3 linked regions of the Drosophila melanogaster genome follow. The protein of the gene in region 1 binds, or shares a complex with, the protein of each later gene. Each region holds a gene or a part of one and is shown in the gene's direction. Other genes may lie near its edges. The genes, in order: Nelf-E, NELF-B and Nelf-A.

Region 1 (4,039 bases):
TGCATACGTTCCAGAGAAACCTAGTCAACCTTCATGGACTGCCCAGTAGCATCTTCAAGCGACATCGGCTCCACGAGCACGCCTTCCTGGTGCACTACATGGACCAGGCCATAACCCGCGAGGGTGGCGTTCACAACCTGACACCGGATGCTTTGCGCTACTCCTGCTATCTGCGCGGATTGAATCCCGACAGCCTGAGCAGCGAGGCCATGATCGAGTGGCTGCGGAAGTGGGTCAAGGTGTCCACGTCGATACAAGGCGAACATATCACGCTGTTCCTGCACTTGCCCATCCTGCTGGGCTACAACCATCCCAACAACTGGAAGACCATCTACGGCAAGTGCCCCACTTGAGCGGGGTCCTCTGGTCGTTAGCTATTTGGTAGACTGTGCTTTAAAGATTGGACTGTTAAGATCATTTTGTTTCTTGAGAGCAAATAAAACCGTTAAACCAAAAGAAAGCTGGCAGTGTGCTTGTGTTTTTCCTAAAAATAACACTTTCTTTTATTTTCTCCATGGTGGTGGATGTTCATCAAGCAGTTACTTTCGTTAAAGGTAGTATTTTTTACTTCTTGGCCGCGGCCTTCTTGCCACCCTTGGCCTTCTCGGCACGCAGACGCTCGCGACGATCCTTCTTGAGGACGCGGGGAGTGCCGTCAGCCTTGGTGCGCTTCTTCAGTGTGTTGAAGGCGATGGTCAGCAGCTTGTTGCGCTGACGCTTGGCATAACGCAGCTTGAAGCGGTCAAAGTCGTTCAACGAGGAGCGCTGCAAAAGAAGACAAATTCTCATTAGTACTTGATTTATTCTGAATGTTTATGAAGACGCCTAGCTATGATTGTAATCAGATAAACTAGAATTAGCTTCATATATGTGTCAGCCGGCAATTCCTATCAAGAACTTTCAATTATCATCATGTGCAGTTCAAGGAGGTAATCAACTAGGCAGAGAAGAGGTATAACATTTTCCCCTCTACATAGGTAAACTTTCCTACAGCTACGAATCCTCCTCGTGCTCAGTGTACATACCTTGCAGATGTTCTGTGCCTTGACGGACCAGGGGCTGACCTTCCACTGGGCCTTCAGGTCGCTCTCTGTCCAGGCCTTGCGCACGATGCGCGTGGGCGCGGTGTAGGGGAACTTGATGCGGTACTTGGTCAGATGCAGATTGTTCAATCTGTATTCCTGACGGGGCACGCCAGTCAGAGGACCATCTACCAGAACCTGAAAAGTGAAAAGCCATTAATTAGTTTGGATCACTTTAACCATGTATGGCCATGAAGGGAGGAGTACAGCAACAAATGCTGGTTTTGCTTGCTTGCTTTCAGAGGGTTAAACTAGCTTCATTTATGTGTCAGTTGGCACTTCCTATCAAGAAGACAAATTATCATCATGTGCAAGAGCTCGTCACTTGGCAATTTGTTGCTGTTACTCCACTATGGAATGATGCACTTACTCTGTTTTGGTCAATGACGTCGACAATGGCCACCAGGCGCCCCTTCAGGGGACCGGCGGAGGCCTTGGCAATGCGACCAGTTTGTACGAATCTCTCGAAAGGCTGCAAACAGAGAGAAGTCCATTAAAAATGGGTGAAAATGTTGGATTTCGGTTGTTGCATGGCCAGCGCGTTGCTTGTGTTGGTGACCACCACGTGAACTATTTGAATGTTGGATATCCCATGGTTTTCCAACGCTTTTACGCTGCTTTCGCTATTCACACGTTCAACGCACTGACCCGTTCGCTTGGCCGCCAAATTTAATTCATCTCGGGCCATTTAGACCGCTGAATTTTCACATTTTTCAACCGATCCGCAGAAACCTTCGTCGATTCTTACCATGACGCTAACCGGAAAGAAAGAGAAGGAAAGAACTTTTTTGACAGCTCGGTGGTAGCATGGCGTTAGTGTTGCTAAACACAGAGTTGCATGTGGTCTAGTGTTGTGCAGAAATAGTTAATGTGACAGTAAATCATACACATCTTATGTGGTATTTTTCGCTATCAACTGTTACAGTCACACTAAGCCAATTCGATAGATTTCGATAGTAAAAATAAACATTTTGGAATAACATAATTACTTTTGTAGAAGTTACTTTTTACGGGGTTAATTTCAAGCAGACATTTTCCCAACATGGTTTACATACACTTCCCCAACAATTTAACCGAAGAGGAGCAAATGCTGCAGGCCAAGTATCAGAAACTCAAGAAAAAGGTGGGAAAACTCATGCCACAAATGTGATTATTTATATTAACAAGTTTTTAACCCGTAGAAAAAGGCACTGCAAGCGCACAAGGCGCCCAAGCCGGAGCCGGAGAGCTCCTTGACCTTGAAGCGTCCCACGGATGCGCGAGATGCCCGTGAAGTGGCCAGGAAACTAATCAAAAGCGGCGCCATTCCCGCCATCCAGAAGCAGACCAAGCAAGATCAAACCTCCTTCAAGCGGCCCAAAGGACAGGAAAGAGCCAAGCGCTCCACCTCGGAAACCACTGTTGCCTCCTACCAGCCCTTTTCGTCTACGCAGAACGACGTGGCCCAGGAGACGATCATTAGTGAGATCATTAAGGAGGAGCCGCGTCGACAGAATCTCTACCAACACTTCGCCACCGAGCGGGATCGAGAGGAGCGCGGCATGCCCGAGAAGGTGCCCATGGACACAGCGCAGCCAGAGAAGCCACGGGCCGGCAATACCATCTTCGTGTCCGGCAACAAGGTCACCGAGGATTTCTTAAAAAAGACATTCAACGACTACGGCACCATTGTCAATGTCTCCATGGAGATCGAAAAGAGGTAAGTGAACATGGAAAGTCCATGTTATAGCTTACATATATATTTTCCCAACTGGAGAAATTATAAATTTATCCTGTATGGCCTTGCAGTCGCGGCTTTGTTTCCTTCGCCAAACCCGAGTCGGCAGATCGCGCCATTGCGGAGATTCATGGCAAGAATGTGAATGGCATCAACTTGCAGGTGCAGTTGGCTAGACGCCAGCCCCAGATTGAGCCCATTAACGATGCCTCCTCGTCGGCAGTCTGGTCATCTATTGGTAAGTGCTCAGTGTTTCTCTATAACTTAAAAACGAAATCAAACCTTATGTACTCCCCAAATAGCCGCCAGCAAATCACAAAAGGGTAGCCACAAGGACCACCGCGAGATGGTTCAATACGATGAAGACTTCTTGCTCTAGAGCGCAATAATTAGTTTCTACGTTTAGCTTTCTACTTACTTTATCCCTTAGTAACAGAACACATTTCAGTTTATTTTAAATAATTTTGCTTTATTGAAAATACGCTTCTATATATATGTTCACTTTCTGGCTAAGTACTCGCATTTCAAGTTATAACGTTCAAATGAATTCAATGAAAAAGATTGTATGTTTTGTATATTAATTCCTACGTTTTGATCTAAATTAAACAACAATATGTTTAACAATTGAATCTCTCGCTTTGCCTTACGTGGTAGAAAAGATGAGCAAACAAAATAAGTTCTTATTAGTGGTCCTCGCCCCCTCCTCGCAAGAAACAGAGAACGTCGTATGTATGTACATAGCATGAGTTAAGTAAATAGTTAATACATGATCGTTGCTTCTGTTGCTATGCTCTGCCATATAGATTTCTATATCGTTGGTAGACAACGTTGAAAAATGTTCCCTCTATATTTCTGGTTAGTACAAGTTAGATGTCGGTATGTGTGTGATGATGGGTCATTGAACTGGGATTCTGGTTTCGATTGTTTTGTGTGACTAGTAGCACGGGCACGCCCCTGCCCAACGCCGCCCCCATTGGCGCACCTCATTCCTAAAGTAATTTCTTGTTAGTATCATTAAGGCCTTCAAGTTTCGAGCGGACACCTGGCCGCGTTTAAATTCGTTTCTTCATCCCGCCAAGTATCTTGGCCAGATTCGATGCTCCAAAATGCAATACCGCTCCAAAGGATAACAAAACCAGGATGGGACTGCCCACAGTCCCTCACGTCTGCCTTCCATGATCGTTCCCGGGCGGATTAAAGTAGTCCCAATGATGGGTGTGCACCTGCCGCCCCGTTAACA
Region 2 (4,678 bases), on another chromosome or scaffold:
GTGCGGCTGGTGATGATGCTCCTGCTGGTGATGGCCATGATGATGGTGATGGTGGTGCTGCGATACAGTGTCATCCGAGACGCCCTCCTCGTAGGCGGTCAGGATGAAGGTTTCCGCCTCATCGCTGACCAGGGTGATCTGCGAGGTGCCGTGATGTGAGGAGAGCGTGGCGGTATCGTGATCCGATTGCCCGTCATCGTCCATCACCTCGTCGTCGTCATCGTCCACATGCTGTTTCAAATGCAGCATAGCTCCAATGGGCAATGTGGTACTATTCGCGCCTCCAATGCCTCCACCGGCGCCGGCAACCCCACTCGTCTCATAGGTGATCTGTGTGTTCCGGTGCGATTTCAGTTTCGGCTGGTACACCTTCGACAGGAAGTCCAGCTCCTTGGCGTAGCGCCACTTGGATAGCCGCCCTTCGATGTACTTGGGCGTGCGCAGACGGTACTGGTGGAAAGTGTCCCGCAGGTTCTTCCACTTACGACGCACCTCCTGCACCGTGTACTTGTCTGGAAGAAAGAAAGAGGTAGTATAAATATGAGCGGGGTTTCAAAGGAATCGTATTCCTTTTACAGATAATTGATACAAGCTAGAACCTCTTCAAAGGCATCACATTTATGAAAACGTTTCTAAGTAACGATGAAATTATGAGTTGTGTTATAGTAGCCGGCGCCAGAACACTAGCCTATCAATACAATATGCATGTGGTATTTAAAACCAACTTTAGCGGAAGCTTATATTAATTCTGGAAGAAGGCTAATAGTCGGACATGAAGCAGGCCATGACTAGCACTCACTTCCTATCTGCTGGGCCACCTCCTGCCATCCGTTGAGGACATCGGAGCGGCGTCGCTGGTTCGGCTGCAGTTTGTAGTTGTAGAGAACCGGATTCTGGCGCACCAGGTTGATCAGCGTAAGGATGTCGTCCGTGGGCGCGTTGTCCTTGTGGTAGCGCTTGCGCTCTTGCGTCGACGAGGACATGTTGCTTCAGCTTCTGTGGGTTTCCACTGTTGTGCTCTCCCAAATCCTGATGATCCTTATCCCGATACCAATGCTGCTCCTCACATTCAGGTGTTTTGTTTTTGTTTACCCACGAAAAGAGAGGCTTTCGTTCTCGTCGAAATGCACGCACAAACACATACACAAGCGCACTTGAACGGAGCCAAACACCAGCTTATGTAGGTGTAGGAACACGCACGCACACACTCTCGCACACTCGATGCAAAGGATAGCGACTGTGTGCAGCAGGATCTCCTTTGTAGTCGCTACGGGGCACGAATCTCGGCAAGAATCGAGACGCCTTGTCCTTGGCGTTCAGCTCCAATTGTGCGAATTTGACTGCACTTGATGCTCTTGCTTTGCTTTTGGCTGTTTTTGCTGTTGCTTATTTCGCGCTAGGGATGACACATCGCGGAATTGGCGTTCTCTTTCGCCGTCACTGAAAAGCAAAAGTCCGTTTCCCTGTATTTATAATCCTCAATTAAAAGTTACGTTCTTATACAATTAAGTCGTATGGGAATGATGTTCTAAGGCAAACTAATTAAAGGTTTTTATTTTTTGAGTTCAGTTTTTTTACCAACACTATTAGAAATTAGACTTATATTGTATTTGTGGCCCATATAATTTTTTTTTATTATCTTTATTAATTTTTGTAACATTTACCATTCTACCAATAATAATAATACAACTATTTGTTGGCAAAATAATATTAATAACTACATGTTAAACATACAAAGTTGGCTATTACAAGCCGTGCTGATACGTGCACTATCGATAACACCGCACATGTGCAAGCCTGCGCTTATTTTTTTGTCTCCTCGCTAGCAATAAAAAACAACACAATTGTGTAGCTTCGTGTCTTGTTTTGCTCAATTTGCCGACGAATTGCATGATAATGAGCACACCGGCGAAAAATAACAATGGAACTGGACTGGAGGACGTGAATATTCCGGGTCAGGCCTATCTGCGCGAGGCCCTGACCTCCTGCACTGATCCCTTGAAGGCCATCGAGAGTTTTCAGGTTTGTTTACGTTGCACCGAAAAATGGGCGCCAAAAGTTCGGTGGGCTTATTTATCCAAATATCACCTGCCTTTTTAGCTTGAGAATGGTGTATTGCTGCCTTCACTGCGCCCCATGTTGCCTTTACTCGATTTGCACGGCGTGCGTCGACTGGACTTTCATACCTCGCTGATGGAGGAGCTGCGCGACAAGCTGATAGCTCACATCAACGAGATGGGCCAAAAGGAGCCCCGGGAGCGGGACAAGAAGCTCAAGGAGCTGCTCGTTAAGAGCTTCCCCGTCGTTCGGGTGAAGTCGCTGCGGCCCGTGGTCATGGCCATATTGAGGAATACCCAGCACATCGATGACAAGTACCTCAAAATCCTTGTAAGGGATCGGGAACTGTATGCGGACACGGATACGGAAGTTAAGCGGCAGATATGGCGTGATAATCAATCGTTGTTTGGTGACGAGGTGTCGCCTCTCCTCTCACAATATATTCGCGAGAAGGAGCACATCCTGTTTGATCACACCAACTTGAACAATCTGTTCTTCCACCCAACGCCCAAGGTGCGAAGGCAGGGGGAAGTAGTCCAAAAGTTGGCCAACATGATTGGCACCAGTGTCAAGCTGTACGATATGGTGCTGCAGTTCCTGCGCACTCTATTCCTGCGCACCCGCAATGTTCACTATTGCACGCTGCGTGCAGAGCTACTGATGGCCTTACACGATCTCGAGGTGCAGGAGATCATCTCGATAGATCCCTGTCACAAGTTCACCTGGTGCCTGGACGCCTGCATAAGGGAGAAGAATGTGGACATTAAACGTTCACGGGAGCTCCAGGGATTTCTTGACAACATCAAGCGCGGTCAGGAGCAGGTTCTGGGCGATCTGTCCATGACTTTGTGCGATCCGTATGCCATCAACTTTTTGGCCACGTCGGCCATCAAGATATTGCATCACTTGATCAACAACGAGGGCATGCCGCGTGACAATCAGATACTCATCCTGTTGTTGAGAATGTTGGCCTTGGGCTTGAGTGCCTGGGTGATGATCGATTCGCAAGACTTTAAGGAGCCCAAACTTGATTGCCAGGTGGTCACCAAGTTTTTGCCCGCCCTCATGTCGTTAATGGTTGACGACCAGTGCCGCAGCTTGCACGCGAAACTACCGCCGGACGAGCGTGAATCTGCTCTGACCACCATCGAGCATTCGGGACCGGCACCGGATGCCGTGGAGGCGTACATTCAAGAGAGTTCCGTGGCCAGCATATTGGCCATGTACTATACGCTGCACACGGCGCGCCTGAAGGATCGCGTGGGCGTGTTGCGCGTCTTGGCCATTCTGTCCGCCTGCAAAGACGACCGCGCATATGAGGATCCCTTCCTGCACTCTCTGGTTAGCATTTATAGCTGCTTTTCTAATATTTACTTTTCTGACTCGATTGCTTACCTCTACAGATTGCCCTGCTCATCCCCATGAGCGAAGAGTTTGCCACGGAGGACTTCTGCACCACGCTCTTCGACGAGTTCATCTTTGCCGGACTGACGCGCGAGAATGTGACCTCTCGTCACATGCTGAAACTTTTGTGGTATGTGCACAATAAGCTGCCCGCCGGTCGTTTGGCCACATTGATGAAGGCTATGCAGCCGACGACGGCCCACAACGAGCACATCCACAAGTTGTACGAAATTCTGCAGGAGAGAATCGGCACCGGGGCGGCGGAGACGCCGGTCATTGAAGCGCCGCCCATGGAGTTTGATTCGCCGCTAAAGAGTGTGCCAACGCCAGGACCGCACTATAATGTCCAATAGCTAGAGGCACCGGCAGTCGCACCACCTGCGGCTGTCGTCGGATGATGATGGTTATTTGTGATGATGATGTTGATGTTGATGATGATGATCGGAGGCCATGTATGTGGCTACCTCATATACTTCTCTGGAGCAGCCGACCGGATGGCAATCCCCAATTAGCATGCTTGCGCAAATAATAATTCTACTGTTTAGACTAAACATAAAGCACTGCGACCGAGCAATCGGATATAGTTTACATATTTACAGAATGTATGGCTTTGTTGGCAGGCATCAATCAGTTGTCGCTGGCTATTATATATATTATATATTACTGTTACGCTAGTGTAACGATCGATTCTAGTACACAATATAGAGTACAAATCTAAGGCAATGTCTTTTAGTTTCATCAGGGTTTTTGAAAGAAATATTGGTTCCCGGTACCAGTTTCTGTAATCACATACTCAACTTTTAACTCATCTTTACTCAAATTTAATGATTTACATAACTGGAGTTTCTTACGGACATGGATAATTGAAAGATCCTAATAAATTTCGGTATAAAAGTTTTTTAACGCTTATAGCTTAGGGAAATACACACAATTTAGGAGGTTTATTAGGGATAGGAGTCTTTCGTCTCATGTCTGATCTGTTTTGGAACTGGAAACTGGAGCTGATCCCGCTACGGAAGCGGCCGGAGATGTGGAAGCAGCCCCACCGGACGTGGACGCTGGCGAAACTTCCACGGGAGAGGTATCCAACGGAGGTAGTGAAGATGAGGCCGACAAAATCTCATCATCTATGCAAACGGTGGGCGAGTCTAGAGTTTGAATCTCTGGCGAGAGACTAGGAGCTGGCTGTGGCACAGACAGCGATGACGTGGATGAT
Region 3 (7,901 bases), on another chromosome or scaffold:
TCGGGCAACGACCTGTTCGTGTACAAGCTTCCGGAACAGCCCACGGCCAACTACTATCTCTTGAGACCTTACTGCAATTCGGACGAACAGCAAGTCAACGATTTGTGCACTCGCCTGTATTTGCAGTGGCGGGGAGAGCTGGACGGAGGCAGGCACATTCCGTTCCCGCTGCCGGCGAATGTGCCAAACATTGTGGCGGATGGGCTGATCGGTGGATATCTCACCCTCAGTCCGCAACTGTGCATTGTGGCCTACGACGAGAGTAACCGTATCATTGGATATTCATGCGCCGCCCTGGATGTCAACATATTTCGACGCAACCTGGAGCTGTGCTGGTACACGGAACTGCGTGAGAAGTACTCTAGAGATATTTGTCCACTGGAGGGTGGCGAGGAGGTTGTACAGCTCGTCACCTCCCTTGTGGAGAGTTATCATGACAGCAGCGGTAACGGGGCTCTGGACCAGTGTCCCGTAGAGGTGAGCGGCTCCTTCCCTGCCGTGTTGATCTCCGGAACTTTGCGCGAAGCGGAGGAGCGCGACTCGGGAATAACCAAGCGGATGCTCACCGTACTTCTGGCCGCCCTGCGTGCGAACGGCTGCTTTGGTGCTCACGTTCGCGTTCCGCAACAAGATGTCGCCCAGGTGAACTTTTATTCCAGAATCGGTTTCGTGGATGTCTATCGCGAGGAGGCCACCAAGTGTATTTACATGGGTCGCCGTTTCTAGCGTAGCTGGTTGCCACCTTCACTGCCTCCACTTTTAATGTTCCTTCATCTTTGGTATTCCGGCTAGCGGTGCTAGCTACTCACGTCATGTCCTCGTCCTTTTTGTATTCCCTTGAGGTATAAAGTTTGTATAACTGACCAACCCTTCCAGCATTTATCGTAAGCATTGTTTTCTTACTGAGAAAAACAATAAAAATACCAATTTAATAAAACTTTTGCTAGCTTTTGTTCAGGTCGTAGAACCAGACGGTGTTTACTCCGTCCTCTATAATCTTCACGTGCTCTAGGCTGGGTAGTGGAAAGCGGCAGGCGATAATCTTGGTGTTGTGCGGACACTCAGCAATGAGTTTGTGTTCTAGATCTTGCATCATCTGCTCAACCCCAAAAATGACCACGAAGTTGTAGTCCTTTATATCGAACTTCCAGAGATCTCGCCGAAAAAATCTCGTCCGTTTGGAAACGCTGTGACGCAGCGCGGCCAGGCGCGAGTAGTAGACCAGCCATGGGTTTAGCTCCACGCCATCTGCTTTTAGAGCACCACAATGCTGTGCCGCAGCTGGAAAGAATTACATAAGTTATCTGCAATGTTTTTAAATGGACTAGGTGAAGCGTACTTACCCACTACAATCCGTCCGTCGCCGGATCCAATGTCCAGCAGTTTTCCGGCCGAATTCTTGGGCAGGAAGCTGAGAACGTTCTGTATTTGCTCGGTCGTCGCTGGCACATAAGGCAAGCAAATCCTCCGGAATGCAGGCGCCACAAAGGAGGCGCACACAATCGACAGACCGATACCTACTCCGCCCGTTGCTGCTATCAGGATCTTGCCGCCCGTGGACATGCCACTTTTCGGCGTCTTGGCAAGCGGATTCGGAGCAGATTCGTTGAGGAGTTCCATTTCTATTATCAGAAATTCATGTTTACCTCAATTGCTTAGTATTCAGCGATTATTTATCGATAGCTGGTAGCCCTGCAGGGGGCGCTGTTACAACGGCGTTTTGCACCACTGGACCGTGCACACTGTTTGACATGTGGCAACACTTTTTTCGTGCGTTTGATGTGTGCGTGCGCTTCCTATTACAATTTTTTCGAAGGATTTTTCGTGTGTCTTGTTGACGTGCAGCGCGGCAGAAAGTGAAAAACGCCATCAAATAGTGCCGTGCAACAGGGCGGGTCAACGTTTGGCATAAATTGCAGTGTGTGCCCCGCGTGCGGACAGGCGTAATTCGAAAAAATGGCGAACGTAAGGGACAGCGACACATCACTGTGGCTGCATAATAAACTGGGCACCTCGAACGACTCGTGGATAAACGGCTCCATCTGCTCGCAGCTGAACAAGGAGGTGCTGCGCAACATCAAGGAATGCTTCCCCGATCTGCAAACGCAGGTCAAACTGAAGCTCCTACTCAGCTTCCTTCACATCCCGCGCCGTCTGGTGGAGGAGGTAAATGAAATCCAATGAATTGAAATGGCGTTGGTGTATGGAAAAAGTACACCAGTGCATACGCACGCATACTGCGGCCCGCGCGCACACGTACACGGAGTACACTTACCGTTGTTGAAACAAAAAGTGCGGACAATTTTTAAATACTCGGAAAATCTCTTAGATCCCATCACCTGGCGGACCCCAAAGCACATTTCTTCGCCTTTTAACATTTCCCCCCCGGGCGATTTCGCGGGTTGGTGAAAATAAATATTAGCAACGTTTCCCGCCACTTCTGCTTTTGTGTACACATTTCTCTCTCTCCGACACTTGTGCGTGGATTTCTCTCCCGTGTGCCTCGGTGTGTTCATGTGTGAGTGGGCTGTTGTGGGTGGCCGCGGATTCATTTGTTTGTTGTGCCCTTCCCACAGAGCAATTCGAATTTTATCAGACGTTTGACATCGCAGTTAAAAGATACATTTGTATCTCCAGGCTGCTGAGCTGGTAGACCAAGTATAAATACAAATAACTATTGATTTTTTATTTGATTTGCAACGTGCCGTTATAGTGTAATTAAAATCTGTATTTAATCGATCATACCAGGACTACCAGATCGTAAATATTCATTGTATCTATTACCTGAAAGTGTATTTGAGCATCGAGTTGTCAATTTATTTATGCAACCCAACCCATTGTTGATTTGATTGCAATTTGCAGTGGAAGGCGGAACTTGAGGAGGTGATCGAGGTAGCCGGCCTGGATTCAGAGCTATGGGTTTCCATGCTGGCGGAGACGATGAAGACCTTTCCGGCGACCAGTTCGCTCAACACCGAGATCTCCGATTACGAGGACACGCGTCCCATCTTCATAGACATGGTCAACGACCTGCGCAAGCTGGTCACAAAGCATTCGGACCTCGGCATGCTGCCTCTGGAGTGCCAGTACCTAAATAAAAACGCACTGATCTCAGTGGTGGGTATAGACAAACTTACTAAATCTTACCTGTTTTGAACTAATAATTTTTTCTTGTTTAATTCAGGTGGGCCAGCAACCCGCTCCCGTCAAGCATTTTACGCTGAAGCGCAAGCCGAAGAGCGCCCAGTTGCGCACCGAATTGTTACACAAGTCAGCCGATGCGCAGTCCTCGCTGAAGAAGGCCTCGGCCCCCACAATACCGCTGCGATCGCGTGGCATGCCACGTAAGATGACAGACACTACCCCGCTGAAGGGAATCCCATCTCGCATGCCCACCACTGGGTTCCGTTCGGCCACCGTGCCGGGAAATGCCGCCCAGCGCCCCAATCTCAGTCGAACGCCTGCTGGACGCAAAGACGGTGGCATTAAACTGATCGAATTCACCGAACAGCCCTTGGGTTATGCGGCGGCTAAGAAGCGAAAGCGCGAGCAGCAACTGGAAGAGCAGCAAAAGAAGCAGGAGCAGAAACAGCAACAGGCAGCTGCAGCGGCAGCTGCGGCCGCCACAGCAGCGGCAAGCAATGCTGGTGACAGCTCACCAACGGACGCGGCGACTGCCAGTGGAGGCGAAACACCCGTCACGCCCACGTCAGCTAACAACAGCTTCGAAATCAAAATGGAACCGCAGCAACTCAACCAGAGCGCTGGAAGCCTGGAAGAGCCGCAAGACGATGAGATGTCTGGCAAAGCGAATATGGAATGCGATATCGAGACGCCGGAGTACGCTACAGCCACGCTGGACTTTGCCCAGGCCACTTCGACGTCCGTGGCGGATGGTCAACCGGGAAAACCAGCAGTAGAAACGAAGCTGAAGACGCCGCGAACTCCGAAATCCGCAGCAAAACTGAACAACAACAACAACAACAACAACAACAACAGCTTCAATCACACCCCAAAACGAATCAAGCAGGAAATAGAGATCAAGAGCGAGGAGATCATAGTACCCGCCAGCATCAAACTCGAAAAGATCGAAACTTCACCGTCGACCCAACGCGTCAGTATCCAGCAACAGCCGCCTAGTTTGGTGCAGCGCACCCCGCACCTGCTTATCCGCAGTTCGCCGCAGAAGCGGCAGAACAACGGGGCAACCACGAGTGCAGGCACAACCACAACCACTGTGGGCAATACCACCATCAAGATGGAGAAGCTGGACATCAAGCCAATGATACGCGCCACCGGTGTCTCGCCTTCGACGAGTGCGGGCACTACGACTACACTTCTTACCCCGCAGCAACTGCGTCAGGCGGCCAATCCGTTGGCCAATCTGCCCAACAATATCTCCGTGAAGATAACCTCTGCCAAGGCGAAAGCGGCAGCTGCAGCAGCGGCAACATCCAGTGGCAGCCAGACTCAGTCGCAGCAGCCGCAAACGTTGCAGGTTCAGCAGGCGCCTCAGCAGTCGCATCCCCCGCTTTTGATTAACAGCTCCACACCCGTGATCTTGGCGTCCTCGCCCAGCGCTCAGAGAGCGGTAAGTATAAAATTATGCGTAGCTCTATTGGAGAACTTTTAGTTAGGAATTTCTTTAATTTTCCTGGACAAATATTTGAAATTCTATCACCTGCCATAATGAAACTTAGTCCCTCTTTGCTAATTAACTTAATTCTTCGGTTGCAGAAGGCTTTGGCTTTGCCTAGTAGCAGTACCTCCGCCACAACTACCACGACGATACCGTCGCAAGCCATAAAGACGATGCCACTGAGCCAGCTGAAGACGGCTACCAACAGCGGACCAGTGATCATATCGCAGACTATTATCCAGCCGGCAAAGCGAGCCCAACAACAGGCTGGAACCTCCAGTGCAGCGGCCGCTTCGCAACAGCAGCAGCAACAACAGTCGCAGCAGCAATTGTTACACCAGCAAATCCAGCAGCAGACCCAACAGCAGGCGCAGTTACCACAGCAGCCTCAGCAGCAACAGACGCAGTATATTCTAGCCACACCCCAGCAGCAACCGCAACAAATTCAACAGCAGCAACAACAGCAACAGCCCATTTTGCCAACGCTTACCTCGTTCTCACACAGTCGGCCTATGCCGCAGACTACGACGCTTTACCAAGCCACTACTCCTAGCGGAAGCGGTCAGACGCCGACCAAGATTTTGCTAAAGACATCGGGCTCTTCAAGCGTGGTGATGACGCCTCTGCGCCAAGCGCAGCCGCAACAGGCCACCGCTGTGGTGTCGTCGAATCCTCCGCCATTGGTGGCCACTTCGGCGGCAGTAGTTTCCCCGGGTCAGACAACCCTGAACATTCAGAATGTGCAGCTACCCAATCGACCAGTGACCATCCAACCAGCCTCCCAAGCCGCCCAGCAGCAGCATATGCAGGCCCAGTTGCAGCAGCAGCAACCGCATCCACAGCACACGATCGTTGCCAATACGACGGCCACGCAGCAGCCCAAGTTGTCTCAGGTTCTAATGCAGCCAACTGCAGCAGTTGGCACCAGTGGTGTATCCGCTCTGAACGTATCCCCTACGTCCGGAAAGAACAAGACCATCATACTCACCCAGAAGGGCGTTATACTGCGCAACATTGGCGGCGATATGTACCAGCAAATACCAATCAGCAATGTGGGCAACATGCAGGGACTCGGAGGCACCACGCTGATGACAACCACAGCTGGGCCGCCGAGTCTGGTGAAGACAACACCCTCGAGCGGTGTACAGTTGCAGCAGCAACAGTCTGGAAAGCAGATCCTGCCCACTCTCATACCAACCAGCTCGCTTGGAGGACAGCACGTTATTGTGCAGCAGCAGCAACCCACCAATGTCATCGGGAATGTAAGTGTATAAATTATGTTTTGCCAAACATTATTGGCAATAGAAATCGTAAATCTCTTTTCCCCACGTCCACTATGTTGCTATATGTAAAAATCTAACCACATTTGTATCTATCAGTCCCAACAGCAGACCATCATTCGGCCCGTTATGACCAACGTGGGCGGAGGCTTGACCACGCTGCCGCAGGGCCTGACGCTAATTCAACGGCCGGGCCAGCAGCCGCAGCTGGTGCAGGTGCAGGCGGCGCCGGGCAGCACGCAGCGCACGATTATTACCCAATCGAACACGGCGGCGGCGGCGTCGCAACAGCAGCCGCGCCAGCAGCAGCAACAAATCCTGGTCCAACACAAGCCGGCTCCGACCCTGCAGCAGCGTTTGGTCACCTCCACCACCAGCGGTGGACAGGGACAGCAGGGAAATCCGAATGCGGGGCTCCCGCGTACCGTGCAGGTGCAGGTGCAAGCTCAGCAGCAGCAGCAACCACAGCAGCAGCAAGCTACGCAACAGCAATCGCAGCAGGCACCCCAGCGACGTGGACTCTCTCTATCGGTAACAACATTGCACATATTTCTTTAAAATTAGATTTCAATCCTGTCCTGTGGTTTCTTCTAGAACGAACACGTGCACAAGGCGCACGAAATGTTCCGCAAGGCAAATCGCGTCTCGCGACCTGACAAAGCCCTTATCCTTGGATTTATGGCGGGTCTGCGGGAAAACCCGCGCCCAAATAACGAAAACGTGCTGGTCATCAAGTTGGGCGAAACAGAGGTAAGGCTATTTGCGATTTATTTCAAGCTTCTGCCTTGGTTAATTCTCAATGCTTTATGTCAATTGTTACAGGAAAAAGTACAACAGGACAACGGCCACACGGCACTGTGCCTGGTTGAGTCACACATCCGGCTGGACTACAACACCGGTGAGTGGAAGACATTCCAAAACTACAGGCTGCAGGACCAGAGTGCCGCCTCATAGTCCACAAGGGTCATACGCATAGTTCGCAGCAACAAGTGAGCAGGGACAGCCAGGCTGCAACTGGTTTGTGCGTATATGGATTGTTGAATATGTATTTTAATTTGTCATCCGTTCTGCATGGGCTGCTTCGCTGCCGCCCCTAATTAGGCTATTATAAACCCCCTCTCTCCTAAAAACCCTCACCACAACCTCCCGCAGTCAGCAAGACGCCCTAAGAAATGCTGGATATAATGAAACTATTTTATAATTAAGATAATTTAGCTGTACAGTTGTTTAGAATGTAGTAAAGGCTAGCGCTTAAACATTTAGTAAACAGGCCCGTTCGTACATCCATAAAAACACCCATTCATCCAAGCACACTGGCATAATCACCTCTGGCTGAACGCTTCACTGGAGAGCAGTTGGCAAGGCGGATGGGCCAGAAGTGAGCGTTTGGACGGATCACATAGGCACACACACATGCCTCACACATGCATTTTAAAACTGCATATATATACCTAGCTTATGTAATTGCTGTCGAGTAAAAAGTGTGTAATTATCTTACCAAGCAGCATAAAATTTAGAGACGCTGATCGGCGCTCGTATTCATTAGAAATCTAATGAAAATATATTTAGTTTTAGATATATATGTATGAGTCGCAGCCACCACAGCAAAATTAACTTAAATCTTGAAATGTGTAATAGACAAACAATAAAACTAGCATATGTATTTATGGCTTAAATGTTAAAACATCTGCTCTTGTGCTTGATTATGGAAAATGTAGGTCATGCAAACGTCAACTCACTCGGATATTCAAACACTCGATCAATTGATCAATTTGGTTATCAAGTGGTCTGCGCCCAAGTGGAATTCTAAAGACCTATTGGCGTGGTATGTGATTGAATTTTGAAATTGGCTGTAAGAGCAGTTGTAATACCAATAATCATTGGGAAAATAATTCCTCTTATACAATGTATAAGATTGTACATTGAAATTCCGCTGGGTTGGAATTTTGGAAAGTGCCTTGCCCACGGCCAAGAGAGCGTCA

What was found.
Region 2: Nelf-E (region 1) and NELF-B share a complex: the UniProt entries of both Drosophila melanogaster proteins name them as parts of the NELF complex.
Region 3: Nelf-E (region 1) and Nelf-A share a complex: the UniProt entries of both Drosophila melanogaster proteins name them as parts of the NELF complex.

The regions. Positions count from the first base shown.
Region 1 is NT_037436.4:8,598,829-8,602,867, reverse strand, and holds Nelf-E (negative elongation factor E), read left to right. Parts: upstream 1-1,988; 5' UTR 1,989-2,124; coding exon 2,125-2,205; intron 2,206-2,263; coding exon 2,264-2,781; intron 2,782-2,870; coding exon 2,871-3,037; intron 3,038-3,101; coding exon 3,102-3,178; 3' UTR 3,179-3,426; downstream 3,427-4,039. Other genes in the region: CG5989 (uncharacterized protein), read left to right, coding at 15-353; RpL14 (ribosomal protein L14), read right to left, coding at 565-765, 1,026-1,220, 1,453-1,554, 1,831-1,833; CG43078 (uncharacterized protein), read right to left, coding at 3,960-4,039. UniProt on the Drosophila melanogaster protein: Essential component of the NELF complex, a complex that negatively regulates the elongation of transcription by RNA polymerase II by RNA polymerase II. The NELF complex, which acts via an association with the DSIF complex, causes transcriptional pausing.
Region 2 is NC_004354.4:7,725,496-7,730,173, reverse strand, and holds NELF-B (NELF-B), read left to right. Parts: upstream 1-1,812; 5' UTR 1,813-1,890; coding exon 1,891-2,022; intron 2,023-2,100; coding exon 2,101-3,399; intron 3,400-3,461; coding exon 3,462-3,815; 3' UTR 3,816-4,178; downstream 4,179-4,678. Other genes in the region: CG12155 (uncharacterized protein), read right to left, coding at 1-512, 800-983; hira, read right to left, coding at 4,429-4,678. UniProt on the Drosophila melanogaster protein: Essential component of the NELF complex, a complex that negatively regulates the elongation of transcription by RNA polymerase II.
Region 3 is NT_033777.3:21,221,914-21,229,814, forward strand, and holds Nelf-A (negative elongation factor A), read left to right. Parts: upstream 1-1,790; 5' UTR 1,791-1,956; coding exon 1,957-2,166; intron 2,167-2,275; exon of another isoform or gene 2,276-2,676; intron 2,677-2,862; coding exon 2,863-3,117; intron 3,118-3,184; coding exon 3,185-4,591; intron 4,592-4,737; coding exon 4,738-5,901; intron 5,902-6,018; coding exon 6,019-6,450; intron 6,451-6,513; coding exon 6,514-6,669; intron 6,670-6,741; coding exon 6,742-6,873; coding exon of another isoform or gene 6,874-6,912; 3' UTR 6,913-7,599; downstream 7,600-7,901. Other genes in the region: Oga (O-GlcNAcase), read left to right, coding at 1-726; CG3337 (uncharacterized protein), read right to left, coding at 944-1,281, 1,344-1,620. UniProt on the Drosophila melanogaster protein: Essential component of the NELF complex, a complex that negatively regulates the elongation of transcription by RNA polymerase II. Has an essential role in postembryonic development.